4 linked regions of the Arabidopsis thaliana genome follow. The protein of the gene in region 4 interacts with the protein of the main gene of each other region in a biochemical or structural test. Each region holds a gene or a part of one and is shown on either strand. Other genes may lie near its edges.

Evidence for each region.
Region 1: the proteins of PHYA (region 4) and FHY1 form a complex in vitro, tested with the Arabidopsis thaliana proteins (2 studies listed by BioGRID, with this or other methods).
Region 2: the proteins of PHYA (region 4) and AT2G37680 form a complex in vitro, tested with the Arabidopsis thaliana proteins (one study listed by BioGRID).
Region 3: the proteins of PHYA (region 4) and PIL5 form a complex in vitro, tested with the Arabidopsis thaliana proteins (3 studies listed by BioGRID).

The regions. Positions count from the first base shown.
Region 1 is NC_003071.7:15,800,867-15,804,304, forward strand, and holds FHY1 (far-red elongated hypocotyl 1), read right to left. Parts: upstream 1,928-3,438; 5' UTR 1,831-1,927; coding exon 1,778-1,830; intron 1,457-1,777; coding exon 981-1,456; coding exon of another isoform or gene 955-980; exon of another isoform or gene 903-954; coding exon 823-902; 3' UTR 552-822; downstream 1-551. Other genes in the region: AT2G37680 (glucose-induced degradation-like protein), read right to left, coding at 2,634-2,712, 2,787-2,914, 3,011-3,073, 3,146-3,200, 3,286-3,359. UniProt on the Arabidopsis thaliana protein: Key regulator of far red / red (FR/R) spectrum-specific responses essential for the adaption to changing light conditions (e.g. de-etiolation), essentially by regulating PHYA shuttling from the cytoplasm to the nucleus and by directly regulating the expression of some target genes, depending on light conditions and phosphorylation status.
Region 2 is NC_003071.7:15,802,743-15,807,444, forward strand, and holds AT2G37680 (glucose-induced degradation-like protein), read right to left. Parts: upstream 2,932-4,702; 5' UTR 2,861-2,931; coding exon 2,728-2,860; intron 2,629-2,727; coding exon 2,570-2,628; intron 1,720-2,569; coding exon 1,576-1,719; intron 1,484-1,575; coding exon 1,410-1,483; intron 1,325-1,409; coding exon 1,270-1,324; intron 1,198-1,269; coding exon 1,135-1,197; intron 1,039-1,134; coding exon 911-1,038; intron 837-910; coding exon 758-836; 3' UTR 501-757; downstream 1-500. Other genes in the region: AT2G37690 (phosphoribosylaminoimidazole carboxylase, putative / AIR carboxylase), read left to right, coding at 3,369-3,598, 4,006-4,227, 4,323-4,434, 4,529-4,591, 4,696-4,702.
Region 3 is NC_003071.7:8,703,476-8,708,570, reverse strand, and holds PIL5 (phytochrome interacting factor 3-like 5), read left to right. Parts: upstream 1-1,566; 5' UTR 1,567-1,786; exon of another isoform or gene 1,787-2,022; 5' UTR 2,023-2,032; coding exon 2,033-2,130; intron 2,131-2,218; coding exon 2,219-2,924; intron 2,925-3,056; coding exon 3,057-3,134; intron 3,135-3,223; coding exon 3,224-3,289; intron 3,290-3,371; coding exon 3,372-3,437; coding exon of another isoform or gene 3,438-3,452; intron 3,453-3,543; coding exon 3,544-3,882; intron 3,883-3,962; coding exon 3,963-4,046; 3' UTR 4,047-4,131; intron 4,132-4,211; coding exon of another isoform or gene 4,212-4,295; 3' UTR 4,296-4,547; downstream 4,548-5,095. UniProt on the Arabidopsis thaliana protein: Transcription activator. Negatively regulates chlorophyll biosynthesis and seed germination in the dark, and lightinduced degradation of PIF1 relieves this negative regulation to promote photomorphogenesis.
Region 4 is NC_003070.9:3,094,669-3,101,607, reverse strand, and holds PHYA (phytochrome A), read left to right. Parts: upstream 1-1,777; 5' UTR 1,778-2,180; coding exon 2,181-2,185; intron 2,186-2,384; coding exon 2,385-4,450; intron 4,451-4,648; coding exon 4,649-5,465; intron 5,466-5,535; coding exon 5,536-5,826; intron 5,827-5,908; coding exon 5,909-6,110; 3' UTR 6,111-6,405; downstream 6,406-6,939. UniProt on the Arabidopsis thaliana protein: Regulatory photoreceptor which exists in two forms that are reversibly interconvertible by light: the Pr form that absorbs maximally in the red region of the spectrum and the Pfr form that absorbs maximally in the far-red region.

The sequences.
Region 1 (3,438 bases), on a different chromosome or scaffold from region 4:
AAAATCATATACTATGTTCGACTTTACGTGTTAAAGATACTTACATAAAATTACTAAGGATAACTATTTTTAAAGTTTGGTGTTAATTTCTTTTTAATCAACAATTTTTTGTTTTTGTTTTTTTTTGCTATTTTTATAGCGAATTTAAAACTACTAGACATTGACCAAGAAGACTGATAATGCGAGGGAACCACATTCTAGCAAATCTTGAGTCTTGACCATCATGCCAAAATGTTTTACTAGGAAGAATATCAATAAGCTATCATCTTTTTCTTTATTAAATCAGTTTAGATTTTACATTAGAAAGGAACAAGTTGAATATTAACAAGACTTTTGACCATAATAAGAAAAAGTTATGAATTTTTGTATTATGTTCAGAAGAGAGTGTATTGGAGATAATTTGGAGAGAGCAGATTGAATATAGGTGACCAACCAAAAAAAGAAGAAGATATCATCTGAACAAACTTATTAAAGAACATTGACTCTCATTTCTCAGTTAAGTTGGTACTGAAATACATCAGGGATACTCTTGAACACAAGATTGGTTCATATGAAGGATCAGAGTGTCATAATCATCTCAGAATTTTTTTATACTAACTTTTATTTCTGATCCAGGCAGAACAAGATATATAAGCAAGATTAGTTTTGCAAGCTAATAAAAATCTTAAAAGTTGAAGACTAGAGTTGCAAACATTTCAAAGAAGCTCTCTAATCACTTTGAATTGAACGTTTTTTTAAGGTTGACAAGAATCAAAACAGAACGAGTACAGTTCTATGTACATACATCTCTTCATATATGTTTTGAGTCTCAACATCATTTTGTTACAGCATTAGCGTTGAGAAGTATTGTTCAAATTCTTGATCAATGGTAGGCTTCTTTGTCTCATGTAGAGTAGAATCATCTGTACACATGAAACCAAGTTAGTGAATCCCCGGTTCATTGAATCAATACGGTCAAACCAAAATCCGGTTTTCTTTACCTTGGTTAACAGTCCATCTTCCAGAGGACAGAACAAACTTAGCAGCATTACTACTACATCCTTTAGCATCTTCCTCTTCTTCTTCTTGTTCATCGAGATAGAGAATGTTTTCAATGACTTTCTCTGAAAAATCCTCTAAGTTCTGAGTCCCATAGATGTAATCTAGATGGCTTTCGAAAGAGATCATCTTGTCTTCACCGCATGATCCAGATGATTCCTCTTTCATCTCTATATCATTGTTACACTCCATAGAAGTTGTTGAGTTCACATAAGAAGACATTGAATACTCTGTATCAATCTCCGAGTTACCATTTGTATTCTCTGAACAAGCAACATTGGCAAAACAAGTGTGTTTTGACAGAGGTAATAACGATAACTCATCAGATTGATCTGTCTGAAATTTCCTCTTCTTGCTCACCTCAACTTCTTCCATTTTCAACACATTTTTACTACTACTTATGATCATGTGATGGAAACTGCAAAAAAAAAGAACAACACATATTAAGATAGTGGATGGATCTTAATCACCAAATATATGAAATTGACTTTATTAATCTTGAACTTAATAAGGGTTTAGGAAAGAATAACAGGAAAACTTTCTTAATCTCAACGATTAAATAAGCTAAAATCAAGATAAAACTTCAATCATCCTCTGCAGCTATGATTTTTGGTCAACCATTGACATGAATACATACATAATCAGTCAATCCTCTGTATCTTAAAGAAACTGAGAAGAAGCATAATAAGAAATTTGATCTCTAATGATAATATATAGGAATAGATTGAGAAACTGAAACCTGTTAATCTCAGATGGCTTCTCGTTGTTGTTATCCACTTCCACTTCAGGCATAGATCGCAGAGAGAGAGAGAGAGATAGAGAGAGTTCAAAGATAATTGTTTTTCTTATTACTCTTTTAAAAAATGCTCTTTCCACTTTCAGAGGGTCTGAAAATCTGGAAACTGCGTAACTTAAAATACATAAATTAAGCATCAAGTGTACGACGCGCTACGTTGGAGCGTGTATTACACGAAACATTTGAATCCGTTGATCTCGTCGACATGGTGTTTGATTTGGCGCGTGAAAAGAGTCTACGTGTTGGCGAGGTGACCCATCTTCTTACACGGGACCGTTTTTTATTTTTATCTTTCGCTCCATACGATTTTGCAATCTTTTTTACTATTGTCCCATAACGATTTTATGGGCTTTTGGATGAGGATGTATAAATATTTATCAATTTTTCCCTTACATAGGTATAAATATTCATTATCTTACAAAGATAATAGTTTATAAATTTTATATCATTATTTAAAGAAAATAATATGATGTAGAACTGTCTTTTTAAATTTCTATTAAAAACTTAATTTTAGAAGAATTTGGATTTTTTTTACAAAAATTTTTAGAAAAACTTCTCAACTATTTGGTAATTATTTTTTTGGACAATTTGTTCTTTTTCCAGATAAACTATTAGCTTGGTACCATAATGACAAAATAGTATTTTTAGTTCTTTACTTGGTCTGGTCTACTAGCTAAGCAAAAAAATATCTTACTAATAATTTATAATAATTGACACGTCATAATGTACTGGATCACGTGCATCGCATGTTTAGACGAGAGTATCATATGGCGCTGTCTGATGATTTTGGTAGCATTCATCATTGCAACTCGTAAGAAGAAAAGCTGAAACCAGATCTTCCTTCGTTAACTGTTTTCAGCTCCAGCTTCTGAAACGGACTGTCCAGAAACAAAATATCATCAGGTTTTATCTCAAACAACAACAGATTATATAGTTTGTATCTTGGACTAACCTGCTGTTTGGATCATAATAGAAACCGCTGATGGAACCATCGCTGCAGGAGAAGCATACGTAGTAAAATCCAGCTATTGTTAGTCCACAATCTGTGCCAACGTTTACAAAGTATTGCTCTTTCCATCTCTGCACCACCACAAAAATAAACCCGAGTTGCAGGAATTATGGAATACTTGAGAGAAAATGATGATTGGATTCGATAGGAAAAACTGAGAGTTATACCATAAATATATAAGGATAATTGTTAAGATCCAATTGCCTGCCACCATCAGATTCAACTTGTCCCTGCAGTATTAAGTCCAGAACGTTGCTTAGGAGATGTTACTGACTATACAAACAATGTTACTCGAGTGTTACCTGAAGAGGCGAAAAAGACGGGAACTTTGACCAATGTCTCATATCATCTTCCCTCCTGTGACAAACAAACTTTCAAAAATTTATTCACGATAAGAAATCATCAGTTTCAAATCTACAAGAATATAGGAATTGGGACATACGTTGCTTCCCATTTTCCGGTGTAAAAGGTATAATTCTTTCCATCAACGATTTCCCCTTCCCAGAATGTTATGACCTGACACTCACAGAATCAAGAATCGTGTCCCCTATTAGAAATTCAAGGGGAAGCAATATGAAGAAAAAATGAGTAAGAG
Region 2 (4,702 bases), on a different chromosome or scaffold from region 4:
GTTTTTCTTATTACTCTTTTAAAAAATGCTCTTTCCACTTTCAGAGGGTCTGAAAATCTGGAAACTGCGTAACTTAAAATACATAAATTAAGCATCAAGTGTACGACGCGCTACGTTGGAGCGTGTATTACACGAAACATTTGAATCCGTTGATCTCGTCGACATGGTGTTTGATTTGGCGCGTGAAAAGAGTCTACGTGTTGGCGAGGTGACCCATCTTCTTACACGGGACCGTTTTTTATTTTTATCTTTCGCTCCATACGATTTTGCAATCTTTTTTACTATTGTCCCATAACGATTTTATGGGCTTTTGGATGAGGATGTATAAATATTTATCAATTTTTCCCTTACATAGGTATAAATATTCATTATCTTACAAAGATAATAGTTTATAAATTTTATATCATTATTTAAAGAAAATAATATGATGTAGAACTGTCTTTTTAAATTTCTATTAAAAACTTAATTTTAGAAGAATTTGGATTTTTTTTACAAAAATTTTTAGAAAAACTTCTCAACTATTTGGTAATTATTTTTTTGGACAATTTGTTCTTTTTCCAGATAAACTATTAGCTTGGTACCATAATGACAAAATAGTATTTTTAGTTCTTTACTTGGTCTGGTCTACTAGCTAAGCAAAAAAATATCTTACTAATAATTTATAATAATTGACACGTCATAATGTACTGGATCACGTGCATCGCATGTTTAGACGAGAGTATCATATGGCGCTGTCTGATGATTTTGGTAGCATTCATCATTGCAACTCGTAAGAAGAAAAGCTGAAACCAGATCTTCCTTCGTTAACTGTTTTCAGCTCCAGCTTCTGAAACGGACTGTCCAGAAACAAAATATCATCAGGTTTTATCTCAAACAACAACAGATTATATAGTTTGTATCTTGGACTAACCTGCTGTTTGGATCATAATAGAAACCGCTGATGGAACCATCGCTGCAGGAGAAGCATACGTAGTAAAATCCAGCTATTGTTAGTCCACAATCTGTGCCAACGTTTACAAAGTATTGCTCTTTCCATCTCTGCACCACCACAAAAATAAACCCGAGTTGCAGGAATTATGGAATACTTGAGAGAAAATGATGATTGGATTCGATAGGAAAAACTGAGAGTTATACCATAAATATATAAGGATAATTGTTAAGATCCAATTGCCTGCCACCATCAGATTCAACTTGTCCCTGCAGTATTAAGTCCAGAACGTTGCTTAGGAGATGTTACTGACTATACAAACAATGTTACTCGAGTGTTACCTGAAGAGGCGAAAAAGACGGGAACTTTGACCAATGTCTCATATCATCTTCCCTCCTGTGACAAACAAACTTTCAAAAATTTATTCACGATAAGAAATCATCAGTTTCAAATCTACAAGAATATAGGAATTGGGACATACGTTGCTTCCCATTTTCCGGTGTAAAAGGTATAATTCTTTCCATCAACGATTTCCCCTTCCCAGAATGTTATGACCTGACACTCACAGAATCAAGAATCGTGTCCCCTATTAGAAATTCAAGGGGAAGCAATATGAAGAAAAAATGAGTAAGAGTGTAAGGGCTTACAGGAGTGTCTGCCATGGGAACGTTTAGAGCTTCCATGGTGCCACAAAGATAACCATGTTCAAGGTCAATACCCTGTATCTGGACGTTGACTCTCCAAGCTTCCTCCTTCTGTTGATTAGAGACATTTTGCGTACCAGAAAATGCCTGCAGCACAGCATAAAAACATGTGTGTTCCTCATCTTTAGGTTCATTATGAATAAACAATCTCTTTGAGCCAATGAATGTTATACAATCCCAACTAGATACAAATGCACTTGAATTAAGCATACATGTCAACATGAAAAAGATATGAAGCCAATCAAAGCAGACAAGGCCAACTTCTAATTGGTATAACAAAAATCAGCATTACTAGAGAATCGTTATGCAACCAGAACACTTGAACAAGTTGCAGATCTAATGGGAAGAAAGTAACTAGACCCATGATGTTTGTTGCCTGCCTATGAATGATGCTTTGTGCCTGAACAACGAGACACGAGATCTTTAAGTTCTTTTATGCTAACCTAAGTAGCTAAACATCATGGAAACTTATAACTTTCCTTCTCATCTTACCATAGCCTCTCTCTCACAAATTTCACATAAAGTATACTAGCAAACCCTTGTGAAGCAAAGTTTCTTCTATAACTACCACAGCCAATCGACAGAATCAACAATAAAAAAATTAGCTATTCTTGTGATTTCAAGTATTCATAAGTAAGAACTTGTCAAGTTTGAGAGAAAATTCACCTTTACACATAAAAACCCCTAAGATAATGTCTTTATAGGTATACTCAGATTCTGCTTACACATAAGGTTATGTTCATAAAAAGAGTGTGCATACATAACCACAGATGCACAAGCATAACTAATAAAGTTCTTTCTAGTCCTAACCAATATTCCCAAGACCTCTATGGTCAGACACTTGAGAGAAAAACTTGTAAAAATCCAAGTATCATACGAATCCTAGAAATAAATTTCTGCAAAATAACATGTTTTGTTAATTCATTAATCGTTGTACCTGGCCAGCGCCGAGAAGTGAACTAGGGGGAAGTGGTGATCGATTCCCAGGATCAGTTCCTAAATGGCAACAAATCTCAACAAATGAGCGAGAGAGCCACAAAGAGGGAACATAAACAAACAAACCTAAATTCAAAACTTGAAGAAGCGATCAAAAACCTGAAACTTGAGCAGGCGTGTTGCTCTCAACAACTCTCACCGGCATTTTCTTCCGTCTCCTCCTTTCCGTCTGATAAAAATCCGATCTTTGGTGCGACCAAATCAAATCGTGGAGCCTAATCAAAAACCACATCTCATCATACCCGGTTCGGTTTTCTTAACCGAATCAAATTATACATAAAACGGATTAGGCTTCTCCGGTTTTCGACTGCGTTTTGTATAAAACCTCTCAAAAACCTTTTCTTCTCTCCCCGTCAGACCGATCTTCTCTCTCCTCGCCGCCGCCTCCAAATCCGGAAGAAGCTTTTTTCCACCTCTATTATCGAACTTGCTTTATAAAAATCTAACCTTTGGACCTGACTTTCCGACTTCTCTCTCTGTCTAGCTGCTTCTCTCACCCAGGTTTGCCTTCCTCTCAAGTTGAAGCTGCGGCTTTATTAGTTTAGCTATTGACTCTAAGAATGTTACTTGAATCCATTCACATGAGCTTCTTACGTCGTTTTCATTGGTTTAGCTATTGACGTTGACTTGGGTTTTGCTTGAGTTCATTCTCTATTGTGGTCTACCATACTTTTTCATGTTACTTGATTGCATATTTATAAAACGGTGCTAAAAGTATTCCGTTTTGTATAGCATTCTAGATGTTGCTTTTGAAACAAAGCTCAGCTGCTGTTCTTGTCGTTGGAAATACAACTCCAGTCCTTCACACTTCTCGCTCCACCTACAGAGTTGGACCTTTTCCAGTGACCAGAACGCAGTCGTTCCAGAGTTTGACTATGGCAAATTTGCAGAAGCTTCCCACTTCTTCGTCTGGGAAATTGAATACGGCTTCAGCTGTGCCCTGTAGCTCTCACGATGCTTCTCCTATCAGGTACCTATGTCCCCTGTATTGAGTATAATGGTGTCAACCATTCTTCTTAAGTATTTTCTCGATTCTTATTATTTTCTTGGCTATTGTGGTGTGTTAAAAGATAAACGAGATTGGATCAATTAAGCTGAAAGGTGAAAGTCGTTGTATTTAAACCACATATCAATTAAGCCTGCATATATTAATCTGTGAAAATGAAGAAAAATTTCTCTTTTCTTGTAAGTTTCATGGACATGAGAAGTTGCATAGCTGTTGTGGTTAAGATTGCATCACACCAATTGCAATGACGAATAAAATATAGAAACTAGCTGTGCTTCCCTGCTCGTTTCTCTGTTACTAGACACAAAGATTTGAAAATAGTAAGACTGGGGAAGGAATTTCTAATGTTATTTATCTTTCCTCTTTGCAAGTGAGAATCGCGAGAATAAACATGTCCATGGAGTTTCTGAGAAAATTGTGGGAGTTCTTGGGGGTGGACAATTGGGTCGTATGCTTTGCCAAGCTGCTTCTCAGTTGGCTATCAAAGTGATGATTTTAGATCCTTCTAAAAATTGTTCAGCAAGTGCATTGTCCTACGGTCACATGGTTGATAGCTTTGACGACAGTGCTACAGTAGAAGAATTTGCAAAAAGGTCTCTTCTTTTGTTTGTTTCTTGAATGCTTCAGGTTCTCAATTCTTATTTTCATTACAATATTTATGGTTATTTTTGTTTATTGTCGTAGTTAGATGTGGAGTCTTAACTGTAGAAATTGAACATGTTGACGTGGACACACTAGAGAAGCTTGAGAAACAAGGAGTGGATTGCCAACCCAAAGCTTCTACTATTAGGATAATACAGGTTTCATAACCTCTCAAATATTTCATCAAATGGAGTTATGTATAGTCAAAGTTTTTCAGCAATTTTATTTATATGTGGCAGTTTGATGTTCCAGGATAAATACATGCAAAAGGTTCATTTCTCTCAGCATGGCATCCCACTTCCAGAATTTATGGAGGTTAGGCCCTTGTTTATACTTTGTTGAAAGAATCACTCATTAAGTTCTCCATGAATCATGAGGAGTTTGTTAATTGTTTTTACCCCTAAACCTCACCACATCAGATAAGCG
Region 3 (5,095 bases), on a different chromosome or scaffold from region 4:
TCTGATTCTCTGTTTCTTTCTTCCCTACTTGGAATTATATAAAAATATGTATATACATATTAATGTGTATATATATATATATATGTGCGTGTTCCCATATCAATGATAAATGCTCTTTATCAAAAGGTAAAATGATTATAAAAAAAAATAAGTTGTTTCATTTTATTTGTTGTTTTCAATGCAAAATTTATTATTATTTTATTATTTTTGATTCTTGAAATTCTGCAACTTTTTATTGGTTAAATTATTTTAAAATATGTAATTAAACATATTTTTAAAATTTAAGAAAACAGAAACTAAATGATCTTAATCAATGTACCAAAATCTTAAACTAGAACAAAATAGAAACAAAAGAAGTATTATAGAAGAAATTAACACTTTGTTCACTAACTTGACTACTATAAATGATTATAAATTAACACTTTATGTAGCATTCGACTTTTCTGTTTATAGAAGAGGAGACTCACTTAAGTCTTTAATATCATGTTTGCATATGTTGTAGTCTTTTGTTTTTAACATCTTTGGATTGACATGGTCTATTCTATAGCCAATATCTATTATGCAAGATAACACGATTTAGTGGAGTCAAACTCTGGTGGAAAAAGCGGAATCAAATGGATTTAACCACAAGACTAAAGGAATATTTCCTGCAAGATATATGTAGTCTTAAATCTATAATTTAGCGATATAAAAAAGGACAATTTTTAAATATGATACTTAAGTTTTTGTTTATTTCTTTAAAAATACCACTTAATGTTTGGTTTCTTAAAATAACATAAAACTTAAATTTAACTTCCAACATTCAAAATTAAACTCTAAACTTTAAACACTAAACCCTAACCCCTAAAAACAATATCTTAAAATTAAAATGGTCAATTCAAACTTAATTTTTTTAATTCTGATGAACTCTTGAAAATCAAAATTGAAGTATAATATTTTTGGAAAACAAAACTTTTGGTGGTATTTTGACAACACAACTTGAAAGTGTGATATTTTGCTACAATACTCCTCTAGAATTCGAGGCTCCCTTAAAACAAAATATTATTTTCGTGTCAGTCATATTTTTTTGAGACATTTCTCAAAATACCACATTTTCAAGTCTTATTGCTAAAATACCATTTCATCCGGTATTCGATCTTCTATCAAAAGAAAATTATATTCATGTAGGATGTCTAGGTTTGGTCCAGACAAGTTAAATGGTAATCTGGTAACATGCGATTCAGTTATGTTTAAGTGTTAATCAGTTAATATTCTAAACTCGGAATAAATGTGTGATGATCCTTGAATATAAATTTATTTTGTAATACTTAAATATATTTTTACCAAAATTAACCGGATCATTGGATAAAGTTTATAAAATAATTTTTTTTTGATGATAATGCCATGAAAACAATTTATAGTACGGATGAGAAACAATGAGGCTGATTATTTTATCTCCGTCAGCTACAAATGATCTCAGACATTTTGTTTTTATGTTCAACTTGGTTTTTTATTCAGAGGTTAAAAAATGGGCACAAGTTTCTATTCAGACACATACACACATAAATAAAATAGAGAATTCACTGTTAAAGTTAGTTGACACAATAGTAAATGCGATACATGCTAGAGTCACGGAAGAGGCAAAAACAAACTCCAAAGAGAGACATATAAGAAAAAGACAAAAACCCTTAAGAAGCTTATCACATTCTTAAAGCACGAAAATTCAGAATAAGATTCAGTCATCCTTTAGCACAAAAAAAAAAAAAAAAAGATCCAGTCATCCAATACTAGTTCCCCAGAAATAAAGGTGATATATTTTTTTTTTTGAGAAGCCTATCCAGTACCAACCTCAATTCTCTAGGTTAGATATAGTCTGGGTAGTATATATGTTTCTTCACTGATTAGTAATCTCTGTGTGTAGTACACTTACTCACTAGTGCTACTCTTTTGGATCTTTCTGGGGTTTTTCTTTTGGTTATAAAACCAGAAGAAGAAGATAACTGTTTGTTATTTTAATACTTACCATTATCATCATCTTTGTAGAGAGAGAGATATGCATCATTTTGTCCCTGACTTCGATACCGATGATGATTATGTCAACAACCATAATTCTTCTTTGAATCATCTTCCTAGAAAATCCATTACTACTATGTAAGTTCTTTTATTCAAACTTATATTAAAAAAAAAAAAAAGTTTGATTAGTTCAAGATCTGAGTATTTATAGTATTGAAAACTTTAGGGGTGAAGATGATGATCTTATGGAGCTTTTATGGCAGAACGGTCAAGTTGTTGTTCAAAACCAGAGACTTCACACCAAGAAACCTTCTTCTTCTCCACCGAAGCTTCTTCCTTCTATGGATCCTCAGCAGCAACCTTCTTCAGATCAGAATCTTTTTATTCAAGAAGATGAAATGACTTCTTGGCTTCATTATCCTCTCCGTGACGATGATTTCTGCTCAGATCTTCTCTTCTCCGCCGCACCTACTGCGACGGCTACCGCGACGGTGAGTCAAGTCACCGCCGCGAGACCGCCAGTATCTTCGACGAATGAGTCGAGGCCGCCGGTGAGGAACTTCATGAATTTCTCGAGGCTGAGAGGGGATTTTAATAACGGTAGAGGTGGTGAATCTGGACCGTTGCTTTCGAAGGCGGTTGTGAGAGAATCTACGCAGGTAAGTCCTAGCGCAACACCGTCGGCGGCGGCGAGTGAATCCGGTTTAACACGGCGGACGGATGGTACTGACAGTTCCGCCGTAGCTGGAGGCGGCGCGTATAATCGGAAGGGAAAAGCAGTGGCTATGACGGCGCCGGCGATCGAGATAACCGGTACATCGTCATCTGTAGTGTCAAAGAGCGAAATCGAACCGGAGAAGACGAACGTCGATGATAGGAAACGAAAAGAGAGAGAAGCCACCACTACTGATGAAACTGAATCCCGTAGCGAGGTGAGTCAAAAAAACACAGAACAGAGTCGTTGTTAGCTATCGTGCGCAAGTCAAATACGGCGCATTTTAGTCTGACTTTGTAGTTTTCAGCGCATTTTTAATTAACTTTTTTGGTGTTTTCTTGTGGTGCAGGAAACAAAACAAGCACGTGTATCAACAACATCTACCAAGAGATCTCGTGCTGCTGAAGTTCATAATCTCTCTGAAAGAGTACGTTTGTGTTTTTTCTTATGTTTTTGTAATCTTTTTCGATAAAGATTTCGCAATGAATCTGAAGAATGTCGCGGATTTGGTAACAGAAACGGAGAGATAGGATCAATGAGAGAATGAAAGCTTTGCAAGAACTTATACCTCGCTGCAACAAGGTCTTCGACGATCTTTTTTCTTTCTCTTCAAGTTATTGTATACGTTAACCTTGTTACTGATTGTTGTTTCTTTGATCCTCAGTCAGATAAAGCTTCGATGCTAGATGAAGCTATTGAGTACATGAAATCTCTTCAGCTTCAAATACAGGTTCATTTTCTTTAAAGGATTCTAAGTCTTGAAAGCCCTTTTTAAGTTCTTGAAAATGTACACTTTACCATGAAAACTCCAGTTTATATGACTGAGATTAATGCAGATGATGTCAATGGGATGTGGAATGATGCCAATGATGTATCCGGGCATGCAACAGTACATGCCTCATATGGCGATGGGTATGGGTATGAACCAGCCTATTCCTCCTCCTTCCTTCATGCCATTCCCCAACATGTTAGCCGCTCAAAGACCTTTGCCTACACAAACTCACATGGCCGGGTCAGGACCGCAATACCCTGTTCATGCTTCTGACCCGTCAAGAGTCTTTGTACCGAACCAGCAGTATGATCCAACCTCGGGCCAGCCTCAGTATCCAGCTGGTTACACGGATCCATATCAGCAGTTCCGCGGTCTCCACCCGACCCAACCACCTCAGTTTCAGGTACTAAACAGTCATCTCTTTCCCAAAAATGACTAGTTCCTCTGCTTACAAGTCACAAGTTCTTATCTTTCTTATTTTAGAATCAAGCAACATCGTACCCAAGTTCGAGCAGGGTGAGTAGTAGTAAGGAATCTGAGGATCACGGAAACCACACAACAGGTTAATAATGTCCATGGAGCAACAAGAAGATCTGTTTTCACAAGCAAACACAATTTCTTATCCGACCCGACCCAACCACCTCAGTTTCAGGTACTAAACAGTCATCTTTTTCCCAAAAATGGCTAGTTCCTCTGCTTACAAGTCACAAGTTCTTATCTTTCTTATTTTAGAATCAAGCAACATCGTATCCAAGTTCGAGCAGGGTGAGTAGTAGTAAGGAATCTGAGGATCACGGAAACCACACAACAGGTTAATAATGTCCATGGAGCAACAAGAAGATCTGTTTTCACAAGCAAACACAATTTTGAGAAATTGACAGAGAGACCTAACATGTATATATATCGCCATCTGTTTCTTGTTTTTCTTTGGTTTGTTTTGTCCTCTCTTCTCAGGTTGTATACTTAGAGAGCTGTACATGTAATGATCCAGAGATCTAGGAATCAATACATAGAGGTTGCAGAGGCTTAGTGCAAAGAATAAATATGAGAAAGTTAGGTTCATATACATACCCGATCATTATTCTTTTCTCGTCTATTATTATTACTTTTGACGAAAGCAATTCTTGATTAAGCTTAACAGTGAATATTTACAAATGTTCCACTCCCAAGTCCCAAAGACTTATCGATACAAATGCACAAACAAATCTTAGTCCTTGCAACTAAGCTCACAATGTGACACAAAATATGTAAATAGACGGACAAAAGCCAGCAAACAAAAGCAAGAAAATTAATGATGTAATTGGCCAAGCATTGCCCATTTTGTAGTGTCTTTCATAGGATCTCTTCATCTAAAAACGTAGTGATGTCAACTAATATGGTATCTCCAGTCCATGACCATAATATCGAAAATATAAAGCTAAAAGAAAAGGCAAACAAATTTCTCAAACCGTTAAGACTTGCTATCTCCATGACCATAAGACTTGACAAACATGCATATATATGTATCAAACCGTTAAATCAATTTTGTATTTGCTTAATAAAGAAGATGTAAAAAGAAGTTTAACATTTATAGTATTTGAAAACTTATATATTAGTATTACTATTTCCTTATTTTT
Region 4 (6,939 bases):
TTTCACACAAATACACACATTAAAAACCGAGAAAACACATGGTAATGAACAGTTGTTTTGAGAGTTCAATATCAAAAGAGTGAAAATGAAATAGCTCTCAAAGGGCGCCTTAAAGTTCCAAACCATCACATCCCTAGTGATTGAAGCGTTCTTGGCCGGCCATTAAGAAGTCTCCTAAGCTCATATTTGTTTTGTTCTTCAAAGTGTTATTCCTGAAATGGGATTAGTACCTTTTGCCAATTCAGATATGTGCAACATGGGCCATGACTATGTCTAATGGATGATACTGTGTTGCTAGGACAACATTTGCATTATGGAGGCACATTTTTGGTCCAACATAGCTGTGCCACAATATCTATGCTGAATTGCGCTGTCTAGATAAGACGTTGTCGATTCGATCTTCTCCGGAGATTTACTGCAAAAAACTTAGGGGGAGATTTAACTTTAAGAGGATAGAAGCAAAATACCTAAGAAAACATGGTAACGTGGATTTGCGATAAGAACGAATCGAAGTTTGACAATGATGTTAAAACGATATGGATTTTGTTTGACGAAAAAAAAATAAAACCTTAATAACGATTTTTTTACCCTTTTTATATAAAAAATAAAACAAATTTAAATTCTTCGAATAAACTTAAATTAGTTTTACAAATTTTATTACTTTCTTTCAACGATAAAAAAAAATACAAAAAAGGAAAGTCCCAACTTTGAAGTAAATCCCAGAAACAGATTACAAAACGCAAAAAGCCGAGAAAACGTGAAGCCCATAAGACTATCGTTGTCGTCTTCCTCAAAACCCAACTTTCTACTTCTGGTTACTGCCTTCATTAAACAACTACCACCATCTTTCTTTCTCTCTCTCTTTCTCGTTTTTTTATTTTATTAATAATCTTTTTTTTTTTTTTTACTTTTGATCTCTTATCCTTTGGACGATTCTCTTCAATCGGATTTATAAGAATCAACCCCATTTTGTTCTTCTTCCACTTTACTTCTTTTTTCCTCATTACACAGTCTTAGTCACATCGGTGAAAATATCAATTAATATTCCCCAGAAAGTTGCCAAGATTTACAAGTAGTAGTACTTGATATATCTTAAGCCCACTGTTCTGTTTTAGCGAGGAAAATGTTACCGGCGAAGCCGACCCTGTTCTTGATATGTGTGTGAAGTTTGTCTTTTATCCAAATTAAGCTTTTTTCTTCTTTTATTTTATTCCATTATAAAATATACAAATCGCCCATACTCCGAGACATGGGCATACGTATTCGGGGTGGTCCCATTCATCGTCGTCGTCTGTGTTAGGGAGCACAAATAATAGAGAGGCGTAGCACAAGAGAGAAGGTGGTGATCGAGGCCAAGATTTAGAATTTAACTATAACAAAAAGCCTCTGACGAGTGTGACTAGTCACAAGATCTGATCATGGCTTCTTGAAACTTCTTCTTCTTCTTTCTTCTCTTTAAAGGTACCTACTTTCCTTTTCCCAAAGTTTCCTCCTTTTTTTTCTTTTTTTAACTATATATATTGAAGCTTGCTTCGATTGATTTCTGCTGGGAGCTTACCAGCTAGCTACTGGTCTCACTCTTCTTACTGAAATTGATTCTAACTTTGAAGTTAATTTCTTAAAGCTATCCTCTGTTGTCATCAATACCCTCTTGTTTTCTGCGATATAAAGGTTTTGTAGGTCTCTTTCGATCTGGCTTGATGTGTGTTTGTTTTACTCAACTTTTTATAGTGTGTGATCATTTATGAGAAGAAGCATCCAATTAATTAATCTCATCCTTTTATCGCTTTTAACTCCTACGATTGCTTTCCCTGTGGGGACTTTATTGTTCCTTTTGAAAGGTATAGCTAGCTATAAAGACTCTTAAGAGTTTATTATTGAGTCTACTTTATGTATGTAGCTGTGTTTGAATCTTGAGAGGCTGATATTAGCTCAGATCCTCGTTTTGTTAGTATTTGTGTAGTGGATTTACCCTGTTAACTATCAACTATTATTTGTGCGACTTGTTCATAGTCAAGATGTTGTTGATTTTGGATTGTAGGATGACTTAGAAAGGAAGTGTTCATGGAATCTGACTGGTTCAGTTACTTTGAAAATGATAAATCATTGAACCTTGGAATATGACACGATGATTCCTGCATCTGTTGCGTCCTGTTTCTGGGTTTAGCTATGTATTCTCGATGGAGTTAGTCAAGTTCATAACTCTTTTTACTGTGTGTTTGAAATTCTGAATTGGTTCTTAGTGTTTCAAGTTTATGCTTATGCATTCGCTTGTATGACTGGTGATGAATGTTTTTGTGTTCATATGATTATGGCATGAATGTTTTATTCCCTCTTTTATCAGAGTTTTGCACTTATTTTTTGTTGTCTTGTCTCTGTGTCAGGAAAAAAATGTCAGGCTCTAGGCCGACTCAGTCCTCTGAGGGCTCAAGGCGATCAAGGCACAGCGCTAGGATCATTGCGCAGACCACTGTAGATGCGAAACTCCATGCTGATTTTGAGGAGTCAGGCAGCTCCTTTGATTACTCAACCTCAGTGCGTGTCACTGGCCCGGTTGTGGAGAATCAGCCACCAAGGTCTGACAAAGTTACCACGACTTATCTTCATCATATACAGAAGGGAAAGCTGATTCAGCCCTTCGGTTGTTTACTTGCCTTGGATGAGAAGACCTTCAAAGTTATTGCATACAGCGAGAATGCATCTGAGCTGTTGACAATGGCCAGTCATGCAGTTCCTAGTGTTGGCGAACACCCTGTTCTAGGCATTGGGACAGATATAAGGAGTCTTTTCACTGCTCCTAGTGCGTCTGCATTGCAGAAAGCCCTTGGATTTGGAGATGTCTCTCTTTTGAATCCCATTCTTGTGCACTGCAGGACTTCTGCAAAGCCCTTTTATGCGATTATCCACAGGGTTACAGGGAGCATCATCATCGACTTTGAACCCGTGAAGCCTTATGAAGTCCCCATGACAGCTGCTGGTGCCTTACAATCATACAAGCTCGCTGCCAAAGCAATCACTAGGCTGCAATCTTTACCCAGCGGGAGTATGGAAAGGCTTTGTGATACAATGGTTCAAGAGGTTTTTGAACTCACGGGGTATGACAGGGTGATGGCTTATAAGTTTCATGAAGATGATCACGGTGAGGTTGTCTCCGAGGTTACAAAACCTGGGCTGGAGCCTTATCTTGGGCTGCATTATCCTGCCACCGACATCCCTCAAGCAGCCCGTTTTCTGTTTATGAAGAACAAGGTCCGGATGATAGTTGATTGCAATGCAAAACATGCTAGGGTGCTTCAAGATGAAAAGCTTTCCTTTGACCTTACCTTGTGTGGCTCCACCCTTAGAGCACCGCACAGCTGCCATTTGCAGTACATGGCCAACATGGATTCAATTGCATCTCTGGTTATGGCGGTTGTAGTTAACGAGGAAGATGGAGAAGGGGATGCTCCTGATGCTACTACACAGCCTCAAAAGAGAAAGAGACTATGGGGTTTAGTGGTTTGTCACAATACGACTCCGAGGTTTGTTCCATTTCCTCTCAGGTATGCCTGTGAGTTTCTAGCTCAAGTGTTTGCCATACACGTCAATAAGGAGGTGGAACTCGATAACCAGATGGTGGAGAAGAACATTTTGCGCACGCAGACACTCTTGTGCGATATGCTGATGCGTGATGCTCCACTGGGTATTGTGTCGCAAAGCCCCAACATAATGGACCTTGTGAAATGTGATGGAGCAGCTCTCTTGTATAAAGACAAGATATGGAAACTGGGAACAACTCCAAGTGAGTTCCACCTGCAGGAGATAGCTTCATGGTTGTGTGAATACCACATGGATTCAACGGGTTTGAGCACTGATAGTTTGCATGACGCCGGGTTTCCTAGGGCTCTATCTCTCGGGGATTCGGTATGTGGGATGGCAGCTGTGAGGATATCATCGAAAGACATGATTTTCTGGTTCCGTTCTCATACCGCTGGTGAAGTGAGATGGGGAGGTGCGAAGCATGATCCAGATGATAGGGATGATGCAAGGAGAATGCACCCAAGGTCATCGTTCAAGGCTTTCCTTGAAGTGGTCAAGACAAGGAGTTTACCTTGGAAGGACTATGAGATGGATGCCATACACTCCTTGCAACTTATTTTGAGGAATGCTTTCAAGGATAGTGAAACTACTGATGTGAATACAAAGGTCATTTACTCGAAGCTAAATGATCTCAAAATTGATGGTATACAAGAACTAGAAGCTGTGACCAGTGAGATGGTTCGTTTAATTGAGACTGCTACGGTGCCAATATTGGCGGTTGATTCTGATGGACTGGTTAATGGTTGGAACACGAAAATTGCTGAGCTGACTGGTCTTTCGGTTGATGAAGCAATCGGGAAGCATTTCCTCACACTTGTTGAAGATTCTTCAGTGGAAATCGTTAAAAGGATGCTAGAGAACGCATTAGAAGGTAAACTCTCTTCCTAAGTTATGCTGAGTTTGCTAAGAATCTTCCAACTAGATTTCACTATTCAAGTTCCAATTGAGTATCGTGGTCGAAGAAACTTGATGCAATGTGTTGTTTTTGGTTCTTAATGATGGAATTTTGTTTTCCAATTTTATCAAACACTGAAGCCGAGTCTATAACTTCACTTGCTTATCTATGCAGGAACTGAGGAGCAGAATGTCCAGTTTGAGATCAAGACACATCTGTCCAGGGCTGATGCTGGGCCAATAAGTTTAGTTGTAAATGCATGCGCAAGTAGAGATCTCCATGAAAACGTGGTTGGGGTGTGTTTTGTAGCCCATGATCTTACTGGCCAGAAGACTGTGATGGACAAGTTTACGCGGATTGAAGGTGATTACAAGGCAATCATCCAAAATCCAAACCCGCTGATCCCGCCAATATTTGGTACCGATGAGTTTGGATGGTGCACAGAGTGGAATCCAGCAATGTCAAAGTTAACCGGTTTGAAGCGAGAGGAAGTGATTGACAAAATGCTCTTAGGAGAAGTATTTGGGACGCAGAAGTCATGTTGTCGTCTAAAGAATCAAGAAGCCTTTGTAAACCTTGGGATTGTGCTGAACAATGCTGTGACCAGTCAAGATCCAGAGAAAGTATCGTTTGCTTTCTTTACAAGAGGTGGCAAGTATGTGGAGTGTCTGTTGTGTGTGAGTAAGAAACTGGACAGGGAAGGTGTAGTGACAGGTGTCTTCTGTTTCCTGCAACTTGCCAGCCATGAGCTGCAGCAAGCGCTCCATGTTCAACGTTTAGCTGAGCGAACCGCAGTGAAGAGACTAAAGGCTCTAGCATACATAAAAAGACAGATCAGGAATCCGCTATCTGGGATCATGTTTACAAGGAAAATGATAGAGGGTACTGAATTAGGACCAGAGCAAAGACGGATTTTGCAAACTAGCGCGTTATGTCAGAAGCAACTAAGCAAGATCCTCGATGATTCGGATCTTGAAAGCATCATTGAAGGGTATGCTAGAATGAAAGTCCATTTAAAATATGGTTTATCTGTGTTCTTATGTTGGAATTTGACTGTGCAGATGCTTGGATTTGGAAATGAAAGAATTCACCTTAAATGAAGTGTTGACTGCTTCCACAAGTCAAGTAATGATGAAGAGTAACGGAAAGAGTGTTCGGATAACAAATGAGACCGGAGAAGAAGTAATGTCTGACACTTTGTATGGAGACAGTATTAGGCTTCAACAAGTCTTGGCAGATTTCATGCTGATGGCTGTAAACTTTACACCATCCGGAGGTCAGCTAACTGTTTCAGCTTCCCTGAGGAAGGATCAGCTCGGGCGTTCTGTGCATCTTGCTAATCTAGAGATCAGGTAAAATAGATATATTCATAATCAGAATGCATAATATGATGTTAAAAACAGTGCATTGAGGATATTGGGATTATGAAAACAGGTTAACGCATACCGGAGCTGGGATACCTGAGTTTTTACTAAACCAAATGTTTGGGACTGAGGAAGATGTGTCAGAAGAAGGATTGAGCTTAATGGTTAGCCGGAAACTGGTGAAGCTGATGAATGGAGATGTTCAGTACTTGAGACAAGCTGGGAAATCAAGTTTCATTATCACTGCGGAACTCGCTGCAGCAAACAAGTAGTCCCCAAAAGAAAAGGGGTCTGGCTTGATATAAAATAGTCACTGGTTGTTCTTTGCTTGTAACTTTCCTTATCGCTTTTGTTTTCGTTTTCAAATTTCAGTAACGATGAAATATCCATCCATTTACATCTTCTGTTGAACTCTTTTCTGAAGCTGTAAATATGGATGCATATCTAATCTCCTCCTGAGTGTTTTGGTTTCATGATGTATCATTCAAAATAAGTAATATAGGAGAAATGAGCTAATGTTTACGGTCCATGGTTTATCATAATGGCAGAAACTCAAACAAATATTCTATCTAGTTTCATATAATCTCCTTCTTTTAAGGTATTAGAGGTAATGCATGATTCGTGACTATGTTGCAAGAAGTCTTGGTTTCAAACAATTAGCTTTGGCTCAACTCCATGAAGAAGCAAACATAGTTCTTCGAACTTAACAGAGATCTATTAGCTGGCCATATGAAGTACACTTAGTTTTCTGTTAGAAGAAGCACATGGTGTGTGAAGTAAAAAATAAGTTATCATGTTAATTAAGTAATCAGTTTTATTAGACCCATACGTTAAGAGTCTCTCAAGTTGATTATTTTATCTGAAAAGTCAGATAAATTAGCTTACCTGTTTTGAAAGCTTTTAGATTAGATCAACCTCGACTTCTTACCTGTCTTTAGTCAACTTTGAACAAAAAATAATATGGATTATACAAGAAGACGAATACATGAGACTATGGAGCTCAAATGCACACTGAAGATCATCAGTTATTGTTCCTTTTTTATTACAGAAGACAAATCAAAGAAGATAAAAAGATCTTCCCTTTAGAAAAAAACAGAACTG